Kluyveromyces lactis: one gene and its partners. The protein of the gene in region 1 interacts with the protein of each later gene in a pairwise test. Links are inferred from orthologs where the notes say so. Each region holds a gene or a part of one and is shown in the gene's direction. Other genes may lie near its edges. The genes, in order: FUS1, PEA2, CUP2, BNR1 and GIP4.

Region 1 (6,234 bases):
TACGATACTGGTGCACAGAGTCACGACACCATTATGTAATGATATAATTGCATAGCAAGACATTTGTAGGTACGAGTTTTGTCAGTAAGGTACCATAATTATCGGGAATACTAGAAAATTGCTGAACTTCAAATAAGGTGAGAATTAAGATTAGATATGTGATGCCAGGTTTTTAGGCAAAAAAAAAAAAAGCTAAAAAAAAACAAAGGTATTACACAGGTATGTCGTGCCTGGAAAGGGAAACGAAAATATTTTGATTTGTGGATTTCTTTGGAGAGAGTCCGTTTTGGTCTTTTATGTTAAACGATTTGGTGGCACAGGCAAATAAGCAAGTAAAACGGGAATAGACCGAGGGTTTATGGCGATCATAACTGGTTTCCAAGAAAGGCACGTAAATTGCCGCATTGCTCTCACAGTTTGACAATGCTGAGGCTAAGTAAAGTACCTAGCTAGTAATTTTCAGCATGAATGCAAAAAAGGAAATCTAATATCGCACAGCTTCTTCATCAAGAAAGGTACTACATGCATATAGCATAGGCACCTGTTATAGAGATGAGTTGCAAAAAACTAAACAAAGTATAAGGTTACGAAGCAGACATTAGCAGTTAAGCCAGTCTGTGATTTTAGTCACTAACGTTTACGCTGTAATAGTATTGCTGATAGCAGAGGTATGACCAGCCTTTGTTTTGCTCCCAGACTAATTCCCATATTAGGATACTCCTACGACATCTTATGTGTTCGAAGAGAATTCGTTAGTACATTTGTTTCTCATTTTCTCCCTTCCCACTTTGAACCTTCTGAGAACTGGTCAGCTTTAGCTGCTTCTATTCGATTATTCAATATCTGTTATCAACCCAAGCCATATGCCTCAAAATACCTTACGAACAGTTCTGCAGAAGCGTACGACTGTTTGCGTTATTTCACGAAGCAAAATGGTACCTTCGTGCATCTGGTGCCTTTTTCTTTACTGCATATTTCCCGTACGTTGAATTTACCCCTGACATGCATAACGGTCTTTTCAGATTGTACCTCAAAACGTGAAAATAATTTTGTGCGTTTCCCTTTAACTGATAATCCGTACACCCAATCTTTTCGAAAAAACTTTGGCATGATATAGAATTTACAGGTTAGATCCGGGAGCGTTGTGCTGTTATCACTCAGCAGCTTTAACTCCACTGAGACTTTTCCAGTGCGGACCCGTTACCATCTTGGTACGCATCAATTTCTTACGATATCTCATGGGCTAGGCAGGGACTGGCGAAAACAGCTGATTCTATACTACATAGATCTCATGATTCCAACCAGATTTTCCCGTTAAGAAGGGTTTTTTTTTCATGTTATTTCTCCAGATGCTCCTTCTCAACTACAAGGTAAGGCCAACTTAAGGGTAGTTGGTTAAGTTTACTATGAGCATAAGATATTAGCCTCATTCATGTAGTCTCAAAATAACAATTCGGTCGGGAATAAGAGAATATCTAAGTTTTGAGGGCTTCTTGGCATATCAATGGTTGTATTGAAAGCAATTAGAGAAACAAAAATGGTTACGAATGGGTCAAAAAACAGCTGATGCATTGTTGGTTTTCCCGTATACTCGGAGTGTTCTCATATTTCGTTTCTAATGAGTGGTTTTAGAAGCTTCGGCATATGCTTCCTATACGCGACAACGGAATGTTGGTAATTCTATGTCAGGCGGTCATGTTAAGGGTGTTAAGAAAGCAGCTTTTTTTTTAGCGCTAAGACTAAGAGGCAGTTTTTGTCTGGCCGGAAAAATGTTTATCACGCTTTTACGGTGACGAATACGGATAAATCAGCGATCTACTACTTTGAAATATGAGTCGTTGATCAGCATAGAAGATGTTGTGGCTTGGCACAGGAATGTCTATTTCACCTAGTATCTACCTCAGTTGAATTGGCACTATAAACATTTCAGCCTTTTTGAAGAAAGAAGTGTCACTAGTATCAACTTCGATCGAACTTAACTGCAGGAACTACAAATATTGAGAAAATATAGCTAGTGGTCAGTTGTTGAATTTACCTCAGCGACCATTTTCCTGTCATGTCATGAAATGTTCGATAGATCAAACGATGAAATCTTTAAAGCTGTCAAAATCCGCGAAGAATTTTAAGAAAAGCAATGAGATGCGAAAGTAACTTTCTCAGCCTTGCTGTTCCTTCATAGCCTATGCCAAACTGCAGATCATGTTTGCCAAATACAAATAATCACACGTTTGACATTCAAAAACCTATTTTAAGCGAAAAACTCTTTTCTAGAAACACATGTCAAAGAAATGGATATCTTGCACTAACACTTCCCTTCGTAAATGTACTCGATGAATAAAACTTTGTTCGAAGCCAGCTGCTTCTTCTGCTACTATTATGCAATGAGCACGTGAAAATTAATCCTGAGTGCATGCCAGAACAAATATAAGATGTTACCCGGATATCACATACTTCCCCCAGAAAGGCGATGTTTGTTAGACGTGTTTCAGATTTGTATTGGATCAGCCTCACGTCAAAAGTACAGAAAGTCAACAACCTGCAGATTCAGATATAAGACAATTTCAGGGACCAAATAGTTAGTACTCTGAAACACTTGAAAAAGAAAAAATAGAATCCAAGGGCACATGAAACCACAGCTGCTTGCGATATTGAGGTATTGGGTATCATAAACAAGGGTTACAGTATGTTTTAACGCAGGTAATTGATACACTTTTAACGTTCCGGCTCCCTTGGGATTATGAAACATGAACGTATTGAATTAACTTTGATAATTCAGTGACATAAATACTGAATGTAATAGCCACTTTTTTTCTGCTATTTTCTGACTCTTCGTTGGTTGACTTTACACGCTTGGATTTGGTGCTTAAGCACCATTGCAGACGCGTAACTTTTCGGCGTCCATGAAACCAGAGGAAAAAATAGAAGAATAACTAAGATGGAAATAGAAACAGAAACACGAACGGTGATCCAGACGCAAATGAACGAACTTATTCTACATAATGAAGCTACTGTCATTAATACAATTTATGTTGATCAATACTATCGAGCATCAAATACTTTACCATATGCATTAACTACCGTCTCGACAGCGTTTGCAACTCAACTGAACAAAAATGTTAAAACTGCAACTATTACAAATCAAGTCACCACTACGATTGAAACTTCTCAAGAATCCACCTCTACTAGTTCTACATCCCATAGCAGTAGCTCATTGGGAGTTCAGAGTAGTCAATCAGCGAGAATGACATCAGGAATCTCCTTGAACAGTCTAGCCAGTACATCGGATGGAAAAAATACTAGTGGTACCATTTTAGGTCTTGCCATAGGATTACCAATTGCCTTGTTTGTCGTTGGATTGGGAATTGTGTTCGGGTTCTTGTACTATCGAAGATTCCACTCAAAAGTTGATCCTGATAATGAAAATATGCAACAGCATGAGCCAGATTCGGTGTTAGGGAAGCTATATGGGATGCAAGAACTTAATGATTTAAAAAAAGCAGAACTTTTCAACGAAAAGAAACAGGATGAAAAGTATGATAGCGGCGTAAGCTCTAAGATCACATACAAAGTTAGCAAACCTTATATTTCTCATCCTGAACTCATTCAAACACCGGAAAAATTGGCATTTACGGACAATCCATACAGAAAAAATGTTAACCAAAAAAGCGACACGAATGCGTACTCAAATTCGACAATGGATTTAGGACAGTTTCCCAGACCATTAGCATCACCCTTCAAGAAATGGAACTATGAATCGCCACTTTCAAGATGGTTTTTAACCAAATCTACTCTAATCCAAGACAAAATTCAAACAGCAAAGACCCCTACTATTCATTTGAAACAACTTAATATACTTGCAAGAGCAAATAAGAGTAAGATCACTATAAATGGGGAGGAGCCGTACACTGAAATGTCACCGATGCTTCCTAGTGTTCCTCGATCTCCATATGAAGCTATTGAATCACTGCCGTCATTAGAACTTAAAGAGGAAAGTGAAATACCAATCAATGAATCTAAGATACGAACGGAACAAGGCGTAATCAAACCGCAAATAATAGATACCAACTTAAAACCAACATATCCAACGCTGCTCAAATTGGATAAACTATCGAAAACAAAACCACTACCCAAGCCGCCTAATCCCCACTTCACGTCGGCCAACGATGATCAACATGTTTCGGATAATGTCAGTGCAAGAAGTGACCATCATGACTTACGATCTGCGAGAAAATCAACTGCTCAAGAGCAGGCAAAATTATACCGTGTTGTCAAGGACTATCAGGCTGTGTTGATGGATGAAATAGATATACGAGGAGGTGAACTTGTACGAGTACTTGCAAGACACACAGACGGATGGTGTTTAGTGGAAAGAAGTAATATCCAAAACCATAGTTCACTAGATGGACCCACTTATTTGAATGAAAACCGTGGTATTGTGCCCGGGTTATGTCTTCAAGAGAGTATGTAAATGTATCGCTATCACAAGTAATAGTAAACGATAGTATTTGTTTGATTGGCTCTTGGCGGAACAATCTCTAGGTCTAATTTTCCGGCAGTTTCAAATAACTTGTAGTTAATCTTTAATTTTCCTTCATTATATAGTATGTGTCTACACATATGACGTTTTTCCTTTAATTTATATCAGCTTATTCGTTAGAGATTGACATGCCAGATACCTAGTTCAAGATTTTGACAGGGTTATCGATGTACGTCTTTTCACCGGCTTCAGCAGCTGGTAGTCCAAAGACCAATTGAGCTTGAACAGTCCATTCTTGTGGAATAGCACCTTCTGGCAAAGCAGCCTTAACGTAACCGTTGTAATGTTGCAAGTGACCACCCAGACCCAACAATTCGATGGCAGTCCATGTGGAGATTTGAGCAGCACCACTGGAATGTTCGGCGAAAGATGGGAAGATAGCAGACCATGCTGGGAAGTCAGCTTGCAACTTTTCAGTAGTCTTGTCATCGGTCAAAAAGATAATAGAACCGAAGGCTTCATCTCTGGCAGAAGCAGGTCTTTTCTTACCGTTATCACCTTCAATGGCATTCACAACAGAATCCCATACACTCTTGTGGGTTTCACCAGTCAGAATAATTGCTCTGTTACCTTGGCAGTTGAAAGAAGTTGGGGTGTCCTTGACAATGGCCTGGACCACTTCCTGAACATCATTGATAGATACACCAGATGGCAATTCAGGCTTCAACGCATAGATAGTACGACGAGCAGCAATAGCTTTCAAGAATTGTTTAGTGGCAGCAGCAGACATTAGATACAGTTTTAGGTTGATTGGATTGACCTCCGTAGAATCAATATATTAAAAGACCATACACTACACTTGAATAAAGTTAGCGTGAAACAAGACAGACTTGATAATTGTTTCCATCCTCATATATATATGTCAGTGTCACATCAATTATTTACACTAGGAGTAACTATAGATCAGTCTATTACAATGGCTTATCCAACCCCGTAATCCCAGATTGTCTTGCACCTTGGGGTACTTCTAACCACCGACCTGACTTTCCTCAGAAACATTAAGACACAGTGTTCGTGTTGTCTGTCGTTTCGAGCGGTTTTTTTTTTTTTGATTTTTTTTTTTTTAGGCATTATTCATCTTAGTAAAAACTGACAATAGCGCTTACTAAAGTGAAGAAAAGTGGTGAAATTAACAGAAACGCTTACATTATTAAATTAATACCGAGAAGTTTCAAGGAAGCTTGAACCAGAAAGAGAAATGTCAACTTTATTAATCGTATCTACTTACGTAAATAGCGAGATTCAAATATGAGTAATAAATTATTCAGGTATAGATGAAGCCTTTCTAACAGTGTAAGGAAATCTTTTTGTGTATCGAACCGGTGCTTATCATCATCCGGATGTCATAACAAGATGGAGGGTGGAAACAAAGACAAAGCCAATCAATGGGTCACATGATCAGATTATTGTTTCTTCTATTTTACCTAAAATGACTCCTAGTATCATCAATGATTCAATGGTAGAAAAGGGTCTAACTAGATGTCTCCTGTATCTCGAACTATCTAGTGAACGTGCATACGTCGTGTTTGCAACCTTCAACTCCTCTCTAGAATGGTCGAGCTACTGCAAGATCTTCAAGCCATTCTGCCGTTTCCTGAAGATGCCAAATCATCACCTCACGTTATAGAGTGGTTGAACGTATTAATAGGCAAAACAAACGAACCAATTCAATGTTTCTTGCCTATATGGTACTTTTC
Region 2 (4,473 bases), on another chromosome or scaffold:
AATAGTTCTCTTCCTATCCCCACCCAATTTCTATCACAACCAGCAATAATCTTGTTGTTCTCGTCCATAACTGGGAATTCGAAACTTAGAAATGGTGCATCGATATTACCAAACTGAGTAAACTCAGAAGGGTTTTCGCATTCTCTTTGAAACAATTCATATCTACGACGCCACAGATGCCAATTTTGCACTGATTCACCAACAAGGGTTCTGTTTTCATCGGGTAATATAGCCTTAATATGTGAATTGATAAAGGAAAAGGGTCTTTCAATAGTCATTAAAACGTTGCCGTAATTGTCAAAGACATCAACGGTGAACGGACGATGTAGTCTGTATATTTGTCTTGTTATAGCTTTAAAGAATCCGAAATCTCTTTCTTGCATGTACCCAATTCTGTTCCCCATGACATCCATGATGGCATACTTATTAGCCTGTTCAAAACCAAGCACAACGTTCATCATTTCGATTTGTCTCTCAATAATGATGGTAGGTTCATTTAAAATGGTAGTTGCAATGGGATCATACTGCTGGATGGTCACATTGTTCATATTTGGCACGCCATTGAAGCCCAAACGAGAAACATCCTTTACCGGAGTTGCCACTCTAGGAAGCCTTCTGAAAGCAGAATACTGACGTACTAGAGCAGCAGGCTGCGAACTGAAAATTCGTCTGGTAAGTGCTAGATTATATCTCCACATGGTGTATGAATATTGCCCGGTCAGCTGTTCCCTTGCATCTAAACGTCTATTTGACTTTTTGTAAGACTCCGTTTAAGGTTGAGATACTTAATTGAAGATCAAATATCAAAATATTACCGTTAAATCCAAAATTGAAGGGAAGGTAAAAGTATCGTCATAAATGTTCTGCTCGAATGGAATACAACCAGAAATTCCATATTACAGTATAATATGTATGCTATCAAATGAATCATATAATTCAATCGTACAATTATTGAAATAGTTTACTGTTACATACCTATTGGGATACTTTTATTGAAATGTGGTATATCACTGTGTTGAATGAGATTAAGAAGAGAGGTAATATTAATACAAAGCAACAACTGTAGGTTGAGCTATGCTGGGAGGATGGTCGGTTGATAATGAGGATCAGGGTGATATACCATGCTGTTAAATAATGCTGAAAGAAAAGAAGACTGAACCAATAACACGGGAATCGGTCAGCAAATCGAGAAGAGAGAGAGAAAAATGCAAATAATAATGGTAATAAGTTACAAGAAGTAGTCCATTTGAGGTTTTTTCGTAGGGAGAATGACATTACCTCCACTATCCCTCGCCTGAACAGCTTCAAAAATGGTGTAATCCTTCGTCATATCGTCATCGATGCGCAGCACAGCAGCCACATTCCCACAACGATAACAGTAGTTTGGTGCTGACCATACCGTGACTAATCCCCCATCGAACATCTCTTTATAACCTTCCATGACCAATTGATGAGCTCTAGCGATTAATTCGACACTATTTGTGTGTAAAAATTTATCTACTTCGTTTTGGCCAAATAGGAAACCTGCACCACGCGGGGAAAGAGACCAAGTATCCACATCCTCTGGATCCGACCACAATAAATCACACATAGCACCTTCATGCGGTACCTCCTTTTTCCTATCGATGGTTCGTATTTCGTTGATTGATAAAACGTCCGGCGATAATCCACCATGAACACAGAAAACCTTGTTGTTTACAATGGCACCCAAGGGCAAATAGTCGAATACTTCGCAACAGTATCTCCATACGTTACTGTTACCATATTTCCTTACCACTTCGTCGTAAAACCCATAAACCTTCGTAATCTGTCTTGTTTCATGATTTCCTCGTATCAACACAATTCTATCTGGATACCTTAATTTATAACATACCAAAAGAAGGAAACTCTCTAACGAATAGAACCCTCTATCCACGAAATCTCCCAAAAAGATGTATCTATTCTTTTCAATGCCTCCACTCTTAGCAAAGAGAGTCAACAAATCATGCAATTGGCCATGAATATCTCCACAAATTGTGACTGGCGTATCCACATGTGTCACGTTAGACTCATTCATAAGAAGTTCTTGAGCCATGACACACAGCGAGTATATCGAATCCTCGTCAACATGTTTCCCCTGCCTTAGAGTCTCTATAATCTCATCGAGTTTCATCATTGACAGATGCTCAGACGACGTTAAAGTTAAAACCAACTGGAAGTATAAAAGATAAAAAAAAGTGATTCCCTGTTCAAGAACTGACGATATTATTCTATAGTGATGAGTTTGGATCAAATCCAACAAAAACCTACCTTAAACTAATCTAACAAAGGTAAACTGAATAGTCATCATTAACAATATAGGCTTAAAAGCTTCTTTACTTTCTTATTTTCCAAAATTCGATGAGATAGACAAAATGCAAGTATCAAGAGAAATAAAAGTATCAAGTATCAAAAGAGGTAACAACAATTACATTTTTCGGTTAGCCTGAAAAGTCAACTTGTCGGTCTGCGCTTTCCGGTATGTCTACAGTATATAGCGTAGTGTGGAATGCTTGCCTGTGTTGTATATGGGAATTGTTCAGAATCTTGCTTCTTCTTCTTCTTCTCCTTCCATTGTTTCTTTTTTTTTGCCTGTACTCTTTTTTCACGTTTCTTTTTATCAGTTTGCTTCCTTTTTTGTGTTTCGGCCACAAAAACGATAATTTAACGTGACATGCGGGTAATGAGGTGTGCTTATGTAAGCCTTCGGAAGATGACACCCAGACATCGGAATGGCGGTATTCGTGCGTGGTGATGTCAAATATCACGTGGTTGATAATGTGCTTGTATTACCCGGAAACTGCATGTATGTCCCGTGCGTGGTAATTGAGAAAGGCATTGATCGGAATCAACGCGTCTGGATAGATGAACGGAATGTTAAAATGTAAGTTGCTACCAAACCAAGCTAGATACTGATCGCAGCTAGCCCCTTGATAGAATGCTTCGTAATAACCTGGACCAATGGTACGAGTACAATACCTCTTTTGTAGAGAAATTGCATGGGAAGTACCCCAATGAACAGTTGAATGAATATTTGCAAACTACGAGTACGAATTCCCTGATATCCAATAGACAAAATTCGGAGTGGGATGAGCTTCCAATGGATTTGGATTCCCAATTGAAATTGGAATTTGCATTGTACTTGATTAATGAATCTGCTAACGGTTCTCTAAGTACTAAGGGAACTACTTTCTTACAAAAGCTTGGCTCGGTAGACGTTGACACGTTGAAAGAATTAGTCCAATTGGTACTAGAGAATGATAAATCTTTAGCCAATAAAAGCACTGATGAGGATGAGGGGAAAGTGGAACAGATCACCTCCTACCTGATCTCTAGCTCCATTTCTAAAGGTATCAATTTGGCATCAATAGACAATTCTTCCAACGAGGAGGGTGTACATGATCCAATCTCATTTTGTAAGAAAAACATCGACATCCTGTTGGATGCATACCCACAGAATTCAAGCAGTTCTTTGCAACACGCGCCCCTTTCTACCTCAGAATTGGAACTTAACGATATCTCAAAACAACAGGACCTACAAACGGCTATCACGGATTTACAACTTGCATACAAGTTCTTGAAATCGAAATATGAAAATGATAGAGATGAATACCAGGCGACTATAGAAACTCTGAACAAGACTAACAAAGAGCTTTCTGAAGAGCTCTTACACTATCATAGTAAGTTGAAGGAGCGCGAGGAGAAATCGAAAGTCACTTCACAGATGCAATCAATTCCAATGGATATCGATAGATCCTTCTCACAAGCAATTTCCGAATCCAGTGACATCAAATCCTCAACATCTGCTTCTAACCATCAATCTTTCTCAATGATGAAGCAAGAATTTAAACGAATCTTAGCTGATACTCAGTTAAGATACGAAAAAGAACTAGAACAAGAACGCCTGTTGAGACAACAGTTGGAGAACAAGTTGGAAAATAAAGGATACCGCTAATCGTTTTATGTTGCCCTTAACGATCCAAAAATACTAGCATTAAACTTCAATATATTGTTGAAATGTAATTAACTTTGTAACATTATCTAAGACAGAATTCCTCATCCATTTCAAACTCAAGCTGGAAACCATTTACCGATGGCTATTAGTCGTTAAATTTGTGTATGAACTATATGATACATAGAGTAAGGTGCCAATAATAAAGACTTCTATTATAGCAGAATGGATATGAAAAGACAATAAGGAAGGAAAGATAGAAGGAACAAAGGGTTTTCTTGCAGAAGACGAGACAAAACCTCCGAGAATCGAATTAGTGCATTGTTTAATAAAATAAAAAAATGAATTTTTATAGTACCATCCAATAAAACATCATAGCTTCCTGAATTCACTCAACACAGGGTAGATAGCTTCAAACGCTTGATAGATTTCTTCTCTTTGTTTGGCACCAGTTAAGACAATCTTGCCGGAAACGAAAATTAGTAACACAATCTTAGGTTTCA
Region 3 (6,378 bases), on another chromosome or scaffold:
AGATGATAAAGTTTTGGGTGCATAAATCATATTTTTCAGGGAAGGTTTCTGTCACCTTCATTCGATATTGAATGGTTCAGAATATATAAGTATGCGAAACTGGACCCCATGTTGATGTTTTTGTTTGTCTCCTCAGGTGTTAATATTCCATCGCATGCGATGTGGAAGGTTATGTTATGAACATATTTTTGATGCTTTTTGATATGTGTTGTAATTTGATTTTATCAGAATACAACTATAACATCCGTAAATTCTGAACAAACTACAACCAATCAGTCATGGCTGCTAACAAGGTTTTCAACGTTGCTGTGTTCTTCGTTGTGTTCAGAGAATGTTTAGAAGCAGCGGTGATTGTTTCCGTGTTGCTTTCTTTCTTGAAACAATCCATCGGTTCTAATGATATGGCCACTTATAAAAGGTTGAGAATGCATGTCTGGATCGGTGTTGTTGCTGGTTTCATCATTTGTATGGCCATTGGTGGTGGTTTCATTGGTGCTTACTACCGTTACGAAAATGATATTTTCGGTTCTGCTGAAGATTTATGGGAAGGTGTCTTCTGTATCATCGCTACCTTAATGATTTCTGTCATGGGTATTGCTATGTTAAGAGTCAACAAGATGCAAGCCAAATGGAGAGTTAAGATTGCCAAGGCCATGCTTGAAGTTCCAAAGGACAGACGTAAGAAATGGAGTCTTAAATACTGGGCTACCAGATATTCTATGTTTTTGTTGCCATTTATCACTGTTTTGAGAGAAGGTTTGGAAGCCGTCGTGTTCGTTGCTGGTGCCGGTATTACCACCAAGGATTCCAAGGCCACTGCGTACCCATTGCCTGTCGTCATTGGGTTAATTGCTGGTATCATCGTAGGTACTTTGTTGTACTACGGTACTTCTAAGTCATCTCTACAAATCTTCTTGGTCATTTCTACTTGTGTTCTTTACTTGATTGCTTCCGGGTTGTTCTCCAGAGGTGTGTGGTACTTCGATAACTATTACTTCAACAAGAAGACCGGTGGTGACGCATCCGAATCCGGTGATGGTAACGGGTCCTATAACATCTTAAGAACCGTGTACCACGTTAACTGTTGTAACCCGGAATTGGACAACGGTTGGGATATCTTCAACTCGTTGTTGGGCTGGCAAAACACTGGTTATTTGTCATCCATCCTTGCTTACAACTTGTACTGGTTGGTCTTAATGATTGTTATCGGACTAATGATGTACGAAGAAAGAAATGGCCATTTACCATTCTGTAAGAATCTAAAACTGAGACAATTGAAGCCAAGCTACTATTTAAAACGTAAGCAGAACGAAGAGTTGACCGCTGCTGAACAAGAGGAATTGTTCAAACAAGTCAACAATTTGGGCGTCGACGAAGAAGGTAACGTCGTCGTTAACAAAGGTGACACTACCAAAGTCAACGTCGAACTCGTGAAATAAGTGGGTCACTACTAATTTTCACTAGTTCTTTTATCAGAAGTATGTACACCTGTAAACAATCAAATATAATGTAAAGTATCTTTTGGTTTATCGATTAGCAAGTTAACTGCATAGTTGCCAGTTGGGTAAAACTCTATATTCATCTGGGAAATGGAAGCAACAAATATTTATCAGTTGGGAACCCTGATGACTACTGAACGAAAACCGGCTTAGACCACCTCCCCTCTCTCCTGAATCGTGTAACAATTCCTCTTACAATGGCGTGTGTACGTCTCCGCACCTTGCCCAACGCTGTTAGTACAGAGTATAATGATGTATGTGTCGTCCTACCCTTACCATCCGAATAAGACAGAAGAACGCAGCTTGACGAGGTGCCTCTCGAAGCATGTCGAAATGAAATTTCTTTTTCTAATTTCCGGTGCACATTGGCGGAGAAGACACTGCACAACACTTGAAATTCCTGTACGAATGGAAGAGTCTTGAAGGCTTTAAAATCATTACCCGCAAACAGCTGTTCACATACATATACGGACATATCAAACATTCTTATCAAACAGAATACATATATATATATATATATATATATATATATATAGATCTGCAATAATCGGAGCTGAAAGACTTATTTCCTACCCTGATTGAGCTCTACATCCCGCTATACCATTAAACATAGATAGCTTTCAGCGTTTCAAAACTGCTTTTTTCCACTTTCCTAATTAGACCTAAGATAATCAAGCTACTACATACCGAACTTCTTCTTTGTTGTCTTAATACCTTTTTTTCTTTTGGAAAAAATTATAGGAAAAAAAAAATTGAAAAGAGAAGTACTGTAAGTATTCCTCAATTGCCTTCGTTACTCATAAGGTTTAAGAATTAACGGCTGGTATACAGGAATAACTCGGTATCCATATTACTTGTGTTGTACCATTTGACGCTATTTTCTGAAAGAATCTGCTACGAATACTTCTCCTTCCCAACTTTACTCACTGTACTTGTATTTGATTTGATGTGTACTGAAATTTTACAGAGACATTACTTACTAGGTTTAAAAATTTCAACAGAACTTTTAAAGGTCAAATTTTGAGAGATAAAAAAAAGATACTATATATCAGTGTTTTTGACTAGTATTTGAGGAGATTGATAGAGAAACTGCTGTCTCTGGCTTATTCTGTTCACGTTCTCAGTATCCAACCCCCAATTATAAGGCTGAATATCTTCCTTTTTTTCTTTCTCTTCTCTTTCTGGTAGGATTTTTAGTCAGACAACGGCTTAATCAACTTTAAGGAAAGAAAAAGAAAACACACATATTGGAGTGACCTAATCTAATTCATTTGTCTTAATATTCACACTCCCTAATTGTCATTTTCATTGTCCCTTTGCTGGCTTCTTACTGCTGACTTTTGAAGCTTTTTTTGTGGTTATTATTCACTGAAGACAGCACAGACACATTCTGTATCGCATTCAAATAGCACACAATGGTTCTTATCAACGGTGTGAAATATGCCTGTGAAAGGTGTATTAGAGGACACAGAGTGACTACATGTAACCATACAGATCAGCCGTTGACTATGATTAAACCGAAAGGTAGGCCGTCAACGACTTGTGCTCATTGTAAAGAACTACGGAAGAACAGGAATGCGAATCCATCGGGCCAATGCACTTGTGGGCGACAAGAGAAGAAACGGATCGCACAGAAGGCAAGAGAAGAATCGGGATGTGTTTGTAAGAATGATCCGGATCACTGCCCGTGTCATAAGAAGCGTGCGCCAAGAAGGAAAAAACAATCACATCAAGGCAATTCCGCTGTAGGACTGGATATCAATGGTAAAATATCAAAACATACTAATAGCGGATATTCACACCAATCTCTACATTCTCTGGATTCGTCACATTCTGTCGATCAGGATTTATCGAACTTCCTGGCGTCTCCGATCTCTATGAATACAAGCTTTTCCACTGGCTGGGATAATGCGTCGCTGTCAAGTTCTAATCGGTCTCCACCTGGTAACGGACCGGATAGTAAAAATACAATCGGATTAGAACCTCTAAGTACCATGAAACCTATCACACCCAAGACGAGGACTAAAGTCGGTGAAGTTTTCATTCCGCTTACGGAATACGTCCCAACGAATATTGCTTCTTCAGAGGACCAAGCCGATCACATCAATCCACTTCTCATGGGAGAGCACGTATCTATCTACAATGACGTCTCTGCAGATGCCCCAAATGTGACGTATTTCGCGGATACTTCGAAATCTTTGAGTTATAATCAGTTGAAAGAGCAACGGAAGGCTCTTAGCGAACAACATTTGCGTAACAATGTAGATAACATTTCAAAGAGTGGATCAACCCAACGCGTTCCACTCTCAGTCGCTGGCCGTTCATCTTCTTTTGTGTCAAATATATCTTCTCATGACTCCGTGGCATCATCAAACAATGATTTCATTAGTTCATTAAACAGTTCGGATTCTCTGTCTTCTATGCTTCATAGTGGTAACGCTCATCACTACCAGGATATGCTTCATCATTCTAATAATGGACGCGGATATCTTAACCCTGTTCAAGTGGACCAATCTCAAAATGTATATGGCTTTGATACGGACAGCGTACGAAGCGTCGAAGTTCTATCTATAACTCCTAGCTTTATGGATATTCCGGAATCAAAGCCACCGAGTATCGGTTCAAACTCATCTACAAATCCATTTATAAGTTGGAAGAGCGTCAATTCTAGAAGGGAACGTTCCGTTAGTATACACAAAAATCATCGTTATGACAATGAGAATAAAAGGAAGAGACATCCGAAAAATGTACCCAACACTTCTACGCCACAAATCAAGTCTATGGTTTCACCAGCAGAAACTAACAGCACAGCACTTCCGGCATCTGGTAATCATTTCAACTCACCAGCGGATTCCACCAATACAGTTCTAAGTGCTAATACACAGTACGGAGATCCATCCGTATTCAGCATCGAGAAGGTCGGAGTAGCGCCATCCTTTGTAGAACCGTCATTCACCACTGACTTCAACCAGGCACTGAAACAATCAAATATGGTGAACCAAAACATCATCGATAACAACTCTCTGTTCAGTGGCACTAGTGAAGGTAATAACCCCTCTCCTAACGACCTGTTCCCCGTTGAATTCGCAGACATTGATGATTTGATGACACACTTATAATTCTTAAACTACCTTATTCTAGGGTAAGTACATATGTTCATGTAACTCTATTCAAACATACTCGTAATAAAATTAGCTTTAATATGGAAATCCATATTCAAACTGTATTTATATAAATTAGGATCGGCTCAAAGATCTCGAAAACTTGAGTTGCCTCTTCATATTAACCGAGTTATCTGTTCCGAACCGCCCAGAAACCGAATTTATTAATGCGTCTATATAGTAGTGAAATTAAAATGTACTTTAAAAAAATGAAAGATCAATGCGATATATATTGAAATGCAAAACTGATGTCTTTGTGATTGAATTCATTTTTCAAGAGATGGTCGTTTGTTTTTGCTAATGCATCGTGATTCAAATGATTCCACGAAGTCGCGTCACCGTATAGCATTACCGGAGCTTTCAAAATTTGCTTTCCATTCTTACAGCGTTTACAATTATATGTCTCATGGGTATCACATATGGTTTTTGTATCAAGTTTGAACAATTGCTTCAAATTATCCGAACTGAACAATCGTTCAACATCCTCCTTTTCATCCACAACACATGAACTCAAACTCATCTTCATCGATTGTCTTTGGAAAATCTTCTCTTCAATGGTACCAGTACTAATGAATCTGTAGATAAAACAATCTTTCTTTTGCCCATCTCTCCAAACTCTAGCCAAAGCTTGTTGATCTGCAGCCGGGTTCCAATCTGGATCTAATAAAATCAATCTGTTGGCACCAATCAAGTTTATACCGCAACCACCGGCCTTGGAACTTAACAAAAATATAAACTCTTGTCCCTCCGGATCATTGAACCGGTCCACTAACTTTTGTCTTTTATTGATGTTCATGGTACCATCCAATCTCAATACGCCATAGTGGTTACTAAAACACATTTTTTCAATCAAGTCTAGCGTCTGGGTATAGTTTGAAATCAACACAATCTTGTCGTTAGACTCCGTTTTAATTTTGTACAAAAATCTTGCCAAGACCGAAAACTTACTGGAAAAAGCTGTCTGAATAACGCTTCTATTTCTTGAAGTGCGGGAGTCAACAGAAGATTGATAATCGTCGGGTATTAACTCTTCTGAACCCGGAATGTCTTCAGATAGCTCTAATAAGTCTGGATGGTTACATAATTTTTTTAACAAACCGATTGCCTTCAACGGTTGGTTACTATCCCCTTTAACGATCTTCTTAACAGCTCTTGATTCAATGAAATGCTGATATAGAGATTGCTGAAATGGTGTTAAATTTATGAATATAACATGCTCGTATTTGCAAGGTAGATATTTTGCCAAAATATTGTTGGTACGCCTGATAATGAACTTCGAGACAATGTTTGAAAGTTGTCTCAACCTATCCTTACCCAAAGTGACCTCTTCATCTGTAGCCAATGAATCTCTACTCTGTAAAATCGGTAATTCGAAGTTTTTCCTAAAGTCATTTCTGGAACCCAACAATCCGGGATTTGAGAAATTTAATAATGCAAAATACTCCGATAAATCATTTTGAATCGGAGTTCCCGATAGAATAACTCTTCTCGGACACCTAATGGAATCCAATGCCGTGAATGTTAAGGAATCTGCATTCTTCAAACGATGCCCCTCATCTGCTAACATTAGTCCAACCTCACAGTTCTTTAACTGTTCGACATTACGCCTTAAAGTGTCATAAGAAATGATGAGGACAGGTTTGACGATATTTCTACCTTGAGCTGAAGCCCAATGACTCACTGAATCCGCCACATTTCCATTATTTAGACTGGACTTT
Region 4 (7,186 bases), on another chromosome or scaffold:
GAAAAGCCGAAATTGACCAATTGTGCCATTTGGCTGGGTCAGATATTGTAATGTTAAGGAAAGGACAATATGTCACGACCTACTCGCTAACGTTTATTACCACTGATCAAGATCAGAATCAAAAGAAAGTGAAATGTGTTTTCAACATTCCGGTCGATTATCCTCAATCCGCCATAAAGCTAAGTAAACCGAAAGACTGTTCTTCAGATGACCCGTTATCACGAATTGTAAACAATTTCAATTATAAATCAAAAGCTTTACTCAAAGATAAACAGCCGCTAGTTATACAATTAAACTATTTGGTTACCAACTGGAATTCTTTGCAGTCTCCGGAGTATATAAATAGGGACACGGTACAGAAGAATCTGATGTCAAAACTCTCTGATTGAAAAAAAAACACAGTAGCGAATAATATGAGTTACTCATCATATTCATCGAAATGGTCATTACAGAAGAGGGAAACTACATTATACACACGTTAATATTCACTCACTCCTTGACGAAGACTGCAGCAGCTCCCATACCAGTACCGATACACATGCTAACAACACCAATTTGACCAGCGTCTAATTCCCTTAATATGGTAGCGACTTGTCTGGCACCAGTGCAGCCCAAAGGATGACCTAAGGCAATCGCGCCTCCCCTTGGGTTCAATTTCTTCTTGTCGATTTTTAGATGGTTGACACAGAAAATGGCCTGCCCTGCAAAGGCCTCATTAATCTCGTAAACATCAACATCGTTGACATTTAAACCACAGTCTTTGAGGACTCTTGGAATCGCATATGCTGGGCCAACACCCATGATCTCAGGTGGAACACCTACTGCCTGGAACGCAACGTACTTACCAACGATTTCCAAACCCAATTTCATGGCCATGGATCTTCTCATTAGCAACACACCAGCAACACCATCTGATATCTGAGAAGCGTTACCGGCAGTTGTCACACCTGTTTCCTTCACAAATGCAGGTTTAATCTTTTGTAACGATTCGAAAGTGACGCCCTTTCTAGGACCTTCGTCCTGCGCAATTATAGATCCGTCTGGTAGTTCAATAGGGATGATTTCATCTTTAAACAATCCCTGTGAGACAGCCCTTTCCGCTTTATAGAATGACTCCAGGGCAAATTTGTCCTGGTCTTCTCTTGAAATTTGGAACTTCTTAGCAACGTTTTCATTAGTAAATCCCATTGGTATCATACACTTAGCAGCAGCCGTGTTCGATTTCAACTCATTTGATATAGACCCAAGAGCCTTCGGACCATAGTTCTTAGACATAGATTCCACCCCGATAGCCAACCCTACATTGATCTGCCCAGAAATGATCTTATTTGCAACGTCGTTAACGGCAGTTAACCCTGAGGAACACTGTCTGTTAATAGCCACTAACGGAGTTTGATATGGCAAACCAGCAGCTAACATCGCAGCTCTATGTTCTGTCGCACCTGCACCGGGATTCAACACATTACCACACGCAATTTCTTCAATGACACTCTTATCAATGTCAACTTTCTCAAAAAATTCCTTCAGAAACTGTGTAAGTAAATAATCCGTGTTAACATCTTTGAATCCTCCTTTGAACCCTTTACCAATAGCTGAACGATACGCAGCTACAACAACCACATCGTCCGGATTCTTACTCTTTATATCCTTTTCAGAACTGCGTCCTGTCAAATGTTTCTCTAATTGTTGAAGTCTGCTAGCCATATTATATTTCTGATTGACTGTACTCGCCTGTAGTATACTTATATCTTGCCCTATGATGTTCACTTGTCAATCAATTCATCTGATAAAAGTCAGTGATAAAGGAATAATGTCAGCATGACACATTTATGTACGTAATTTATACAAAAAATTATTTGTCAAAGGGATCACTCGCTAAAATAAATATGGGGAATAACGAACAATGAGCAGAACCAACCAGCCGTCGTTTTGGAGTATGTTAAAGAGGATTTAATGATCGCATACATCCCTTCTTCACGGCCATTAAGCTCGCAGTTAATCATCAACACTGAAAAGCAGAAACTTTACGGAGCTCCACGATGTCATTAACAATGATCCTGACTTAATCTAACTACAGTCTCAAATTTGCCTTTGCTCAAGGCTATGTCGTAGAATTGGAGATCGGCATTGTCACACTAATTCCGGTTTTCGTTATGAAATACCCTAAAAATGAAAGACCAACGTCGCATGCGGGGTAACCCCCAAGTTGAAAAAACTTACCCCGGGTAGCAAAGAAGATCCAACTCACGTGACTAGTATCTATAGATTGTTTCACGTGTCGCGTACTGTTTCCTTCTGGTCTCTTCTTCCTTTCCAAAGTGCGTTTCTGAGCTTTTGATCCTGTTTTTGTTTACGTTTTTTAATTTTTGATCCATCTATTAAGGAACGTAACAAAATGAAGCACTAAAAGCGTATGAAATTTAGTACACATGTTTTGTAACACAAAGGAAATCCATAAATACGTACACTTGAAGAGAGTCTAAAACTGTTCTACAATCAGCTTTGCTAATCATTAGAATTAATCGTTTTCTTTGACAAATTGTTTTTTGTACAAGCGTTTATCTAGTGAAATTATTTCGCTATCTCCCAGATCATTATTGAATGATCGCGTTTTCCTTGTATTGATGAGTATCAAATCACTTTTCTGGCTATAATTCTGCAACTGAAAATCAACAAACTTTGACCGACCAATGACTGTTGATAAGAATGAAAAATCCATTAGTATTTTGTTTCCGCTTCGATCTGGATCCATTAATGCTCCGACTGCAAATGCCAAGACCAGGTTTTCTAGCAATGATTCCAACGATGATCTGGTAATACAAGGGCTGAATCTAGTAGGAACAGGGCTCAAACCTCGCTCCCAGACCCTGCGATACATGAAATCACACAACTTTTCAACTCCGAACGTTGATTCTACGCGACATGTTTCTAAAACGGATAAAATGTGTTTAGCAGACACTCAGCTACCGTCAGAACAAGAAATTGATGCCAAGTTTGAAGAGTTATTGAATGGACATGCGTTTCTAGGTACTGCTAAGCAAAATTTGAAAAGCTTGTCGTATACCCGTAAATGGGAATTGATTCAGAAGGAAAAGAAACTACATGGTGATATAACGATGCAAGACGATTCAAAATTGAATACTTTACATATGATTTTGAGCAATTTGAATAAGAGATTCTCGGTTACTCAAACACTTTATCAATTGGAACGTTTACTTCGACATGCTGATTTTATTTCGCTGTTTGTGAATGCAAACGGAGTTTCGATTTTGAATGGGTTCATTGATTTATTGGATAAAAAATCCCAGTACGTGTACTTATGCTGTTATAAAGCATTGCTTAACGATACTTCAGCAAGATCTGTGATATTCCAGAATAATGATTGGATAACTTACGTCTTCTGCCTTTTAGGAACGCTCACAACTGACCTTAGAGTTCGTCTTTTATCTACCCAAATTGTGATCCTTCTGACATATTCCACTGAATGGTCAGATTCTTTGTTGGAATCGTTAGATTTGTGCTACGAAAGTTGGATCCAGGCAGTAGAAATGACTCTTCGAAACCCGGAGGATTATGCGTTTAACAACTCTTTAATTCTTCCAAAACCAAAAGAATTGCTCGTAGATTACTCTATATCTACATTGTTACTGGTTCAATCCATTCAACAACTTCTGCCTTCCAATGATCTAAAACTGGCGTGTTTCAAAAGATGGAAGAGAGCTGGAATACACCGGGTTTTCCGGCTAATGAAGGATTTAGACTCATCAGCTTTGAATCAGGACATAGACCTGTATATCGAACTTGAATTGAAGGTGCAAGACAAACAGTTCAAAAATGAGTTTCTGAGTGAAATATCTTATGGTCCTCAAATCAAGAGTTTAATCGAATATACTAAAGATACGCCGTTAGAAACGCCTATTTGCAATATTATAGAAACGATCTTGGAGCTAGTAAATGAAAGAACAACGGAAGGTTCAATAAAACTGTTCTATGTTTTCAATTCTATTCTAACCTATCTATGCGAACATACCTTGGATGGTAGCTTTGATGAAACCAACACGGAACAAGTTTTCATGACCTCACTAGATCATATAATGGATAACTTACAATCCCATCAAATTGCCAAAAGAGCAATGATGGAACTGGATGAAAAGAAGAAAGAATTTGATGGAATACAACTTCAATTGGATACATTGCTACAAGACAAACAGGTTTCCAAAGGGGATCTACTGCAGAAATTAGAAAATAAAGAAGAACTTTTGAAATCAAGGGAAATAAGAATAGAAGAATTGCAAGACAGATTGGAAGTTGTAGAAAATCAGCTAAAGAAAGAAAAGAAACAGTTGGATCTCACTATCGCCCATAGAGATGTAGCAGAATATACACCAAAACGTTCTGTGTCACTGTTTGAGACTTTAAAAGAACATAAACCGCTTATTGGTACTCAACGATCAACTTCCTTATCAAAAAGTAAACGTATAGCATCGCTATCCACTGTTGCAAATGAAAAACCTCAGTCAAAATATCCGCACTCTACCCCTTATAACATCTTGAATAACAATTCTGACGATGACCTTCCAGTGACTCCGATATATCCACGCAAGAACGACATATTCCATCAGGTATCAGCACTCCCAAAACTATCTTCCAGTAATGATGTAGTATCAGCAACGACCACAGAAGTTCCATCAGCCCAAACAGCATTTGTGATTCCTGCTTCTATTGCAGCACCAGCGGCTCCGCCGCCTCCACCACCACCTTTACCGCCTCAACTGAAAAGTATAGAAGCCTTCACCTCACCAATGACCAATGGACCGGCCCTAGTAACTAGTTCTGCTTCCTGTGCTTCGTCAAATGTCGCGCCTCCACCTCCGCCTCCACCTCCGCCTCCACCATTACCATCAACTCTGTCATCCCTGAACAAGGAATCCACAGTAGAAGATACATCTTTATCAGTTGCATTCCCAAACGAAACCCTCCCAGGAAAACCAACAGACGGCATTCCTCCTCCTCCACCGCCTCCTCCTCCTCCTCCACCATTACCTCTAGCTAACAATGTGACATTCGTGTCTAAGCCTAAACCAGAGGTAAAACCGTTGAAGCAGATTCATTGGGACAAGATAGAGGATATTAGTGACACACTTTGGAATGAACCAACAACTAGGAGTGACTTAAAGGAGGACTTAAATGAAAAGGGTGTCTTTAATGAGATTGTGAACTTGTTTGAACAGAAGGCAGTTCGAATGAAGAAGAAATCCAACGTTACAGCTAGTAAGAAGAACGAAAAAGTTTCTCTTTTGTCAAGGGATCTGGCTCAACAATTTGGAATCAACCTACATATGTTTTCTTCATATTCTGTTGAAGACCTTTTGATAAAAGTACTAAGGTGTGACGATGATATAATCAAGAATCATAGCGTTCTTGAGTTCTTTAACAAGGATGACTTCGAAACTATCCCCCAAAGTATAATTAGATCTTTCGAACCCTATGCGTCAGATTGGAAAACCGGTAAGGCTCCGAAGGAAGACGTCAGTAAATTGGAAAGAGCTGATAGAATATACCTCGAAATGTTTTACAACATGAGATATTACTGGAAAATCAGAAGCTCCTCTCTCTTGATCGCTCTGACATATGAAAAGGACTATTATGACATCTTGTACCAATTACAGAAGATCGATGATGGGACCTCAATGATCAAAAACTCGAATAGACTCAAACAATTTTTCTACATTGTCGTAGAGATCGGAAACTTTATGAACAACAAGAAAACGCAGGGTATCAAACTTTCCTCATTGAACAAACTCTCCATGGTAAAGACAAACAGTGATAAGAATTTATCCTTTTTGCATGTGATAGAAAGAATCATCAGAGAAAAATATCCCGACATATACGATTTTACAAGAGATTTGAATAGGTTATCTGACCTGGGGAAGATTAACATTGAATCGATAGAAAGTGAGATACACGAATATTACGAAAAAATAATGAGAATGAAGGAGTCATTCGAACGTGGAAAACTCTCGCATACTGAGAAACACCATCCAGATGACAAATTTAGAAAGAAAATCAGCGCCAAGCTTCCCAGTGCCGTCAGAAAAGCAGAACTGTTACATAATCAATGTAAACTGACTATGAATGATTTCAACAGCACTATGAAGTACTGCGGTGAGGATCCAACAAATTCCGAAGCCAAAAACACGTTCTTCAGAAACTTCTCTGAATTCCTAACGCTTTTCAATAAAATATCACAAGAGAACAAGGAACGAGAAGCAATGAATCGCGTACATGAACAAAGACAACAGTTATTACAGAAGGCTTCGACAGAAACCCAAGTTGAAAAATCTGCCGATGACGAAGCTGCAGATACGATAGATATACTGATCAAAAAACTGCGTAGCGTTGACCCTCAACAGACAATCCCTGGTTCATCCGTTCCCGGAACATCATCTCATCCAGAAAAACGTTCTACGCCAAGAACCAACAGAGATCAAAATCTATTATCACGAGCCATGACACTTAAGAGCGGCATTCAAAACCTGTGAACAACCTCTCTCCTCTAGCCCTCAGTCACATACAAACTTTTCCCGATCCAGGAAACCCAAGTACAATACATATGAACAGTTTAAACGTATATATATATATATATATATATAGACCAACGCCGGAACAATATTACTCGAAAAGTTTCACATAACTTTTCCCCACGAAACGGAAAAATAAAGCCCTTTAACGTCGGAAGCCCAAAATTTCGTGAATTGTCCAACCTTTCAGCATAGCCAAACTGACAGTACTCCGATATTCATGCAAATCTCATCTACAAACCGGTCTCTGCTTCTCTCTTCGTAACCATACACAGTCTAGATCTAAAAACCTAGATCTAAAAACCTAGATATATTACATCAGCATTTGATACCTAAACCCACAAAAATAACAATCCTGCCGCAACTATATCGCCAAGCCACAAGCCGAGAAAAGATGTAATCCTAATATAACAGGGTAACGCAAGATATTTGTACTGTATCCTTACTTAACGCTACACACTCCTTGTAAACCATCCCATCTCAGTTCTCAGGTCTTACCTATCTCTATGTCCACCGGCTAATAGCAAGATCTGCATGTTCTGATCGGCTTCTATATTTCCGTTTTCTCAACGTTTACGACTCGAGCAAATACAGCTTCTGCTAGT
Region 5 (4,699 bases), on another chromosome or scaffold:
TATATTGGATATATGGCTGTCTTTCCGTGTTGCAGTTCACTTGTGGCCCTTTGATTTCTATTTGCAATGTACGTTCGCTAATTTCTATATATTGACAAAATTGTGCAAACACTTTCATTGCACACAAGTATCTGTTGAAACAAAAAAGTTCAGCATAGATCTAAGAATACCGCTTGAAAACTGAGGTTCAACTGGGAGCTTTAGCATAGAATATCAAGCTGACATAACTATCTCTTATGTATTTCCGTTTTGGAAAAGGGCTTCAAATCCAACTTCGACACTCTTCTAAAGCCGTCCGATCACAACTTCGATGGAACTCGACGACAAAACTCATCAAACCAATCGCTTCAACACAGCATCCTTTCTTGGTGAAACCTGTGACGCCTCATGAATCTTACGTATCATGTACCATTTTCAACGAGAAAGGTGACGTGACTGCTGTATCTCATAAATTCCCGAAATGGGAGTTCTTACAGAAATATGGGTTATATCCAAGAGATTTGAGGAAGATTGACTCGAGTACAATAGATGTAATACCTTCGTTTGTCATCAAACCTAAGTGCATTTTGGTGAATGTGTTACATATAAAAGCAATGATACAGAAAGATAAAGTTTTCGTGTTTGATACTACAAATCCTGACGCCGCCATAAAACTTGGTGTGTTAATGTATGACTTGGAATCAAAACTATCTCAAAGGAATATCAATTACCAAGGGAAATCTGTCTCATACCAGGAAAATTATGAACATAGAGCCCTCGAATCAATACTCATAAACGTGATGACCTGTTTGGAAACGGAATACAAGTATCATCATTCTGTTTGTGGGATGATATTGAACGATTTGGAGAATCAGATTGACCGAGACAAGCTTAGAGATCTTTTGATCAAATCCAAAACTTTGACTGCTTTTGCCCAGAAGAGTGTCTTACTACGTGACCTTTTAGACGAACTTCTAGAGTCAGATGAGGATTTGGCCGGAATGTACCTCAGCGAGAAGAAGCATCCAGATGCTGACGACCATTCGGACCTTGAAATGCTCTTAGAGACATATTACAAACAGTGTGACGAATATGTGCAACAATCCGAATCTCTCATTCAAGATATCAAATCTACCGAGGAAATTGTCAATATTATTCTAGATGCCAACCGGAACTCATTGTTGCTATTCGAATTGAAAGTTACTGTTTATACGTTAGGTTTTACGGTGGCCACACTTGTTCCGGCATTTTATGGGATGAATTTGAAAAACTTCATCGAAGATTCAAACTGGGGATTTGCCAGTGTAGTTGGACTGTCAGTAGCAGCTGCAGCAGTTGTAACTATCACAAATATGAGAGCTCTAAGGTCAGTCACAAAATTGACACTATTGAATAATCATACCGGTGCTAACAATAAAAAGCATTTGGCAAATGCTAAGTTAGCTCTAGACAAAGAAATACCTACATTCTGGGATAGGTGGTTAACGAGTGCAAGGGTGTTATGGTCTGGACGTGAAGTATTGTACAAAGATGGATCAAAGAGAGACATGATCTGGAAATGGTTAGTAGATGACGACAAGAAGTGAAAAATCCGTATAGCCACATCCTGTAAATAGATAATTTCCTGATCGCAAGCAAGTTATCTCTATTTTTTAAACATTTTTATAGATTAAAGCAATAACTTTACTTGTGATACAAATATCATGAGTTTTATGATTACCTATTTGCGAATTCTTGATACATCTCTGTCCATCTGGTTGGTATCTTCTGCAACGTCAAAAAAAAAAATAAAAAGGTTTCTTAAAATTCGCCCAACTGAAAAGAGACATCGTACTCGGCAAGACTTGGCTGCAATTGAAGCAAATATACACCATTCGCTGACTTATCAGAAGGTATATCTACTTTGGGACCATCGAGAACTGCAATAATTACGTTTTTTTCCAATTATGCTGGCGAAGGCGGCAGCTAGTGCTTCCTCATCTATGGAAAAGGGTAGTGTGTATTTGGATTTTACAGATATAAAATGCATACAATATACATCATCGATACGGAAACTCGAGCAACTGGTTCACGTCTGTAAAGTGTTGCTTAGGAATTTGTCAATGAAGAGTAATGAGAATCTTATCCCCTTGTCAAACATCGTGATAGCTCTTGGTTCAGGGTTTCAATTTAATGTATCTGCGGCCATAGAAAAAAGGATCGAACTACTCTCACAATTTAGATCATGTAAAGCCAATGCTACAAATCTGCCATTGAGCACCACTTCTCTCAAACTAGAGGTTGACCTTGTACCGGTGGAAGAAGACTCTGTCTTGTTCGTCAGTAAATTCTACAACAAAGAATTACAATCGCAATTACTTACCACGTTACAACGAGTAGCAGAAGATTCACTTCAGATATACCAAGCAAGAATTAGGCAACTGACCATGGAAAGGAACTCAAACAGACCTACAGACCTATCTGGAAGGACAACTATCTTCAACGAAGATGCGCTAAACGATCTTCTTTCACCAAACGAGTTAGCATTCGGACTTGACTTACTTGTTAATATTAGGAATAGATCAACCGATACAAGCAGCTCTGCCTTCTTTGCTTTGGCTTTACCAATCTTAGAGAAATTCAGGTCTAACCTCAATGATAAGTGCATACCCCCTATACGATCATATTACACTAGTATAATGAAATTCAGCCGAACAAAGGGCGTTTTCTCGAATAATGTTCTCATCCAATTGCCATACTGGCAGTTTACTTTGCATAGGATGTATGCTGCATCTCTTAGAGCAAAATGTCTCATCGATGTGATACGGGCTGTATTGAGACAAATTTACATTCCAAATAAACATCACTTCCATGATAACACTACCAAATTGCATTCAAAGAATCTACACGAATATTCTGAGCTATTGGAAGAGTTAGAAACGTTTTGCTTCACACAGGAACTTGAAAAAGATCTTATAGAGGCCTTTAAGTCATATGGAAACCAGAATACTGTTTATCAAGTTCAGTTTAACAACATCTCATCAGCATATCAAAGATTGTTGTTAAAATCTACGCAGATGTTACGGAAAGCTGCTAAACTCGTTGATTCGTTTAGCACCCAATGGAAAAGTATATCAGATAACATGAAAGCCAGCAAATATGACGATATGAACATCGATGAGATGGCAAAGATGGCGGAGGAAAAGTTAGCTGTAGATGAACTAGCATACAACGAAAAAATAAAGGAACAAGAAAGACAAAGGGAGGAAAAAAAGAATTCCAGTCTTTCACAAAAAAACACATCATCTTCATCTTCCATAACTTCAAATTCTTCCTCATTAAACGTTTCTCCAAATATTTTATCGCCTTTAAGACTGAGCCGGACATCTTCAGTTTCGCGGTCAGAAGAATCAAGGTCCCCATCATCACCAATACCTTTCACTGATGCGAAGTCTAATATATCGGCTAAAAAGACCAGATCAGTCAGAACAAGAAACAGATCGTCATCATTGCAATCAGTATCAAGTCTTGAAGATACTTCCACTGCTCGGAATGGTATGAGATCCAATTCTCTTCAATCAGGTTCTCTGAATACACAAAGAATTGTACAGAATGCATATTCAAAAGCATTACTCTCGTTAAATGAGAAAAGAGGCCCAAGACTAACACCAACAAAGCTGAATAATTCTATAAGATCAAAATCACCTTCTCCAACTGTGTCACGGCAGAATTCCGTAAAACAGAGGAACAAAGTGAACATATTGAAGCTAAATGAAGTAGACGAAGATGACATCAATGAGAAATTCCACGATCTGAAGCTGGACGATGATACTCTAATCGTCTCTCAGGAAGTGTTATCTCCAGAAGGTAGTGAAACTCCTAAGATCATAGTTTCTGTTGCCGATGACAATCAGTCGTCTTCAAACAACGACAGCGAAGTTGAAGGTATTGTGAAAAAGGTGAGATTTATAGGGGTTCCGCCTATGTCACAAGATGAAAACCCTGAGCCTAAAAGACGCGGATGGTACAAGAAGCCTGCCGTGTTGCATTATCCACCTCCACCTGCACAGCACTCACTTCAAAAATTCAGAACAACTCAAGAGGGTCTTGCATTTCGCACAAGTTTGATCTCCAGAGACCAAGGTTCTGATAAAAAGTTCGGTTTTGACAGCATGTACTCATCAGGTCAAGGGGCGGATACTAAAATAGTGGGTAAAATCAAGGATAAACTGTTTAAATAGAAAGAATCTTTTAATTTCTATTTGCAGTGAACTTATTTCCATTATAATATCAACTTTTAACAATGTATTTGAAATTTAGAGAAAATATTTAACTATTGAACATTCCCATAATTTATAAAGTAAAGTAGGTAAGGCTTGAAACATAGGAACAAACCTGTTATAACACCACTAGAACGGTCTGACATGTCATTCAGGACACTCAGCTCATTGCTACCGAGTCCGCAAAACTCAGAAGTCTCCGAGTCTTCAGCATTTTCTAGACAATCTAAGGAAAACATAAAGGATACAATAATATTAGACAAGCTACGACCGGAGAATCTACCAGTGGCCTCAATATCTGACTTTGTACCTCTTAGACAACGTGATATATCACTAGAGGCACCGTTCCCATCGACATCACAGATTAATCAAACATATGTAAAGACTAAGGCGTTTCTAGACTCGCTGCTAACGAAAAAGAGCTCTCTACAATTATCGTCTATTGCGAACAAGGACATCGT

Evidence for each region.
Region 2: the proteins of FUS1 (region 1) and PEA2 interact in binary tests that used the Saccharomyces cerevisiae proteins (3 or more experiments, as listed by UniProt). The link is inferred for Kluyveromyces lactis from reciprocal best matches to the Saccharomyces cerevisiae genes FUS1 and PEA2.
Region 3: the proteins of FUS1 (region 1) and CUP2 interact in binary tests that used the Saccharomyces cerevisiae proteins (3 or more experiments, as listed by UniProt). The link is inferred for Kluyveromyces lactis from reciprocal best matches to the Saccharomyces cerevisiae genes FUS1 and HAA1.
Region 4: the proteins of FUS1 (region 1) and BNR1 interact in binary tests that used the Saccharomyces cerevisiae proteins (3 or more experiments, as listed by UniProt). The link is inferred for Kluyveromyces lactis from reciprocal best matches to the Saccharomyces cerevisiae genes FUS1 and BNR1.
Region 5: the proteins of FUS1 (region 1) and GIP4 interact in a two-hybrid assay, tested with the Saccharomyces cerevisiae proteins (2 studies listed by BioGRID). The link is inferred for Kluyveromyces lactis from reciprocal best matches to the Saccharomyces cerevisiae genes FUS1 and GIP4.

The regions. Positions count from the first base shown.
Region 1 is NC_006039.1:116,015-122,248, forward strand, and holds FUS1 (Fus1p), read left to right. Parts: upstream 1-2,935; coding exon 2,936-4,468; downstream 4,469-6,234. Other genes in the region: KLLA0_C01518g (uncharacterized protein), read left to right, coding at 671-1,117; KLLA0_C01562g (nitroreductase family protein), read right to left, coding at 4,677-5,267; KLLA0_C01584g (uncharacterized protein), read left to right, coding at 6,089-6,234. UniProt on the Saccharomyces cerevisiae protein: Required for cell fusion. Negatively regulates Sho1p signaling to ensure efficient cell fusion. Interacts with SHO1.
Region 2 is NC_006041.1:888,929-893,401, forward strand, and holds PEA2 (Pea2p), read left to right. Parts: upstream 1-2,956; coding exon 2,957-3,973; downstream 3,974-4,473. Other genes in the region: AIM25 (Aim25p), read right to left, coding at 1-698; phosphoprotein phosphatase PP4 catalytic subunit PPH3, read right to left, coding at 1,229-2,155; SPT15 (TATA-binding protein), read right to left, coding at 4,343-4,473. UniProt on the Saccharomyces cerevisiae protein: Localized to sites of polarized growth and is required for efficient mating and bipolar budding.
Region 3 is NC_006037.1:266,639-273,016, forward strand, and holds CUP2 (Cup2p), read left to right. Parts: upstream 1-2,914; coding exon 2,915-4,618; downstream 4,619-6,378. Other genes in the region: high-affinity iron permease FTR1, read left to right, coding at 279-1,439; DNA-dependent ATPase RAD54, read right to left, coding at 4,878-6,378. UniProt on the Saccharomyces cerevisiae protein: Regulates the transcription of a set of genes, many of which encode membrane proteins. Among the genes regulated are YGR138C and YRO2. Does not seem to be dependent on copper.
Region 4 is NC_006042.1:1,001,137-1,008,322, forward strand, and holds BNR1 (formin BNR1), read left to right. Parts: upstream 1-2,690; coding exon 2,691-6,542; downstream 6,543-7,186. Other genes in the region: SMU2 (Smu2p), read left to right, coding at 1-389; POT1 (acetyl-CoA C-acyltransferase), read right to left, coding at 490-1,704. UniProt on the Saccharomyces cerevisiae protein: May organize microtubules by mediating spindle positioning and movement in the budding process. Potential target of the RHO family members.
Region 5 is NC_006042.1:225,725-230,423, reverse strand, and holds GIP4 (protein phosphatase regulator GIP4), read left to right. Parts: upstream 1-1,925; coding exon 1,926-4,199; downstream 4,200-4,699. Other genes in the region: MRS2 (Mrs2p), read left to right, coding at 237-1,565; mRNA splicing protein PRP45, read left to right, coding at 4,383-4,699. UniProt on the Saccharomyces cerevisiae protein: GLC7 phosphatase-regulatory protein involved in GLC7 subcellular redistribution and chromosome segregation.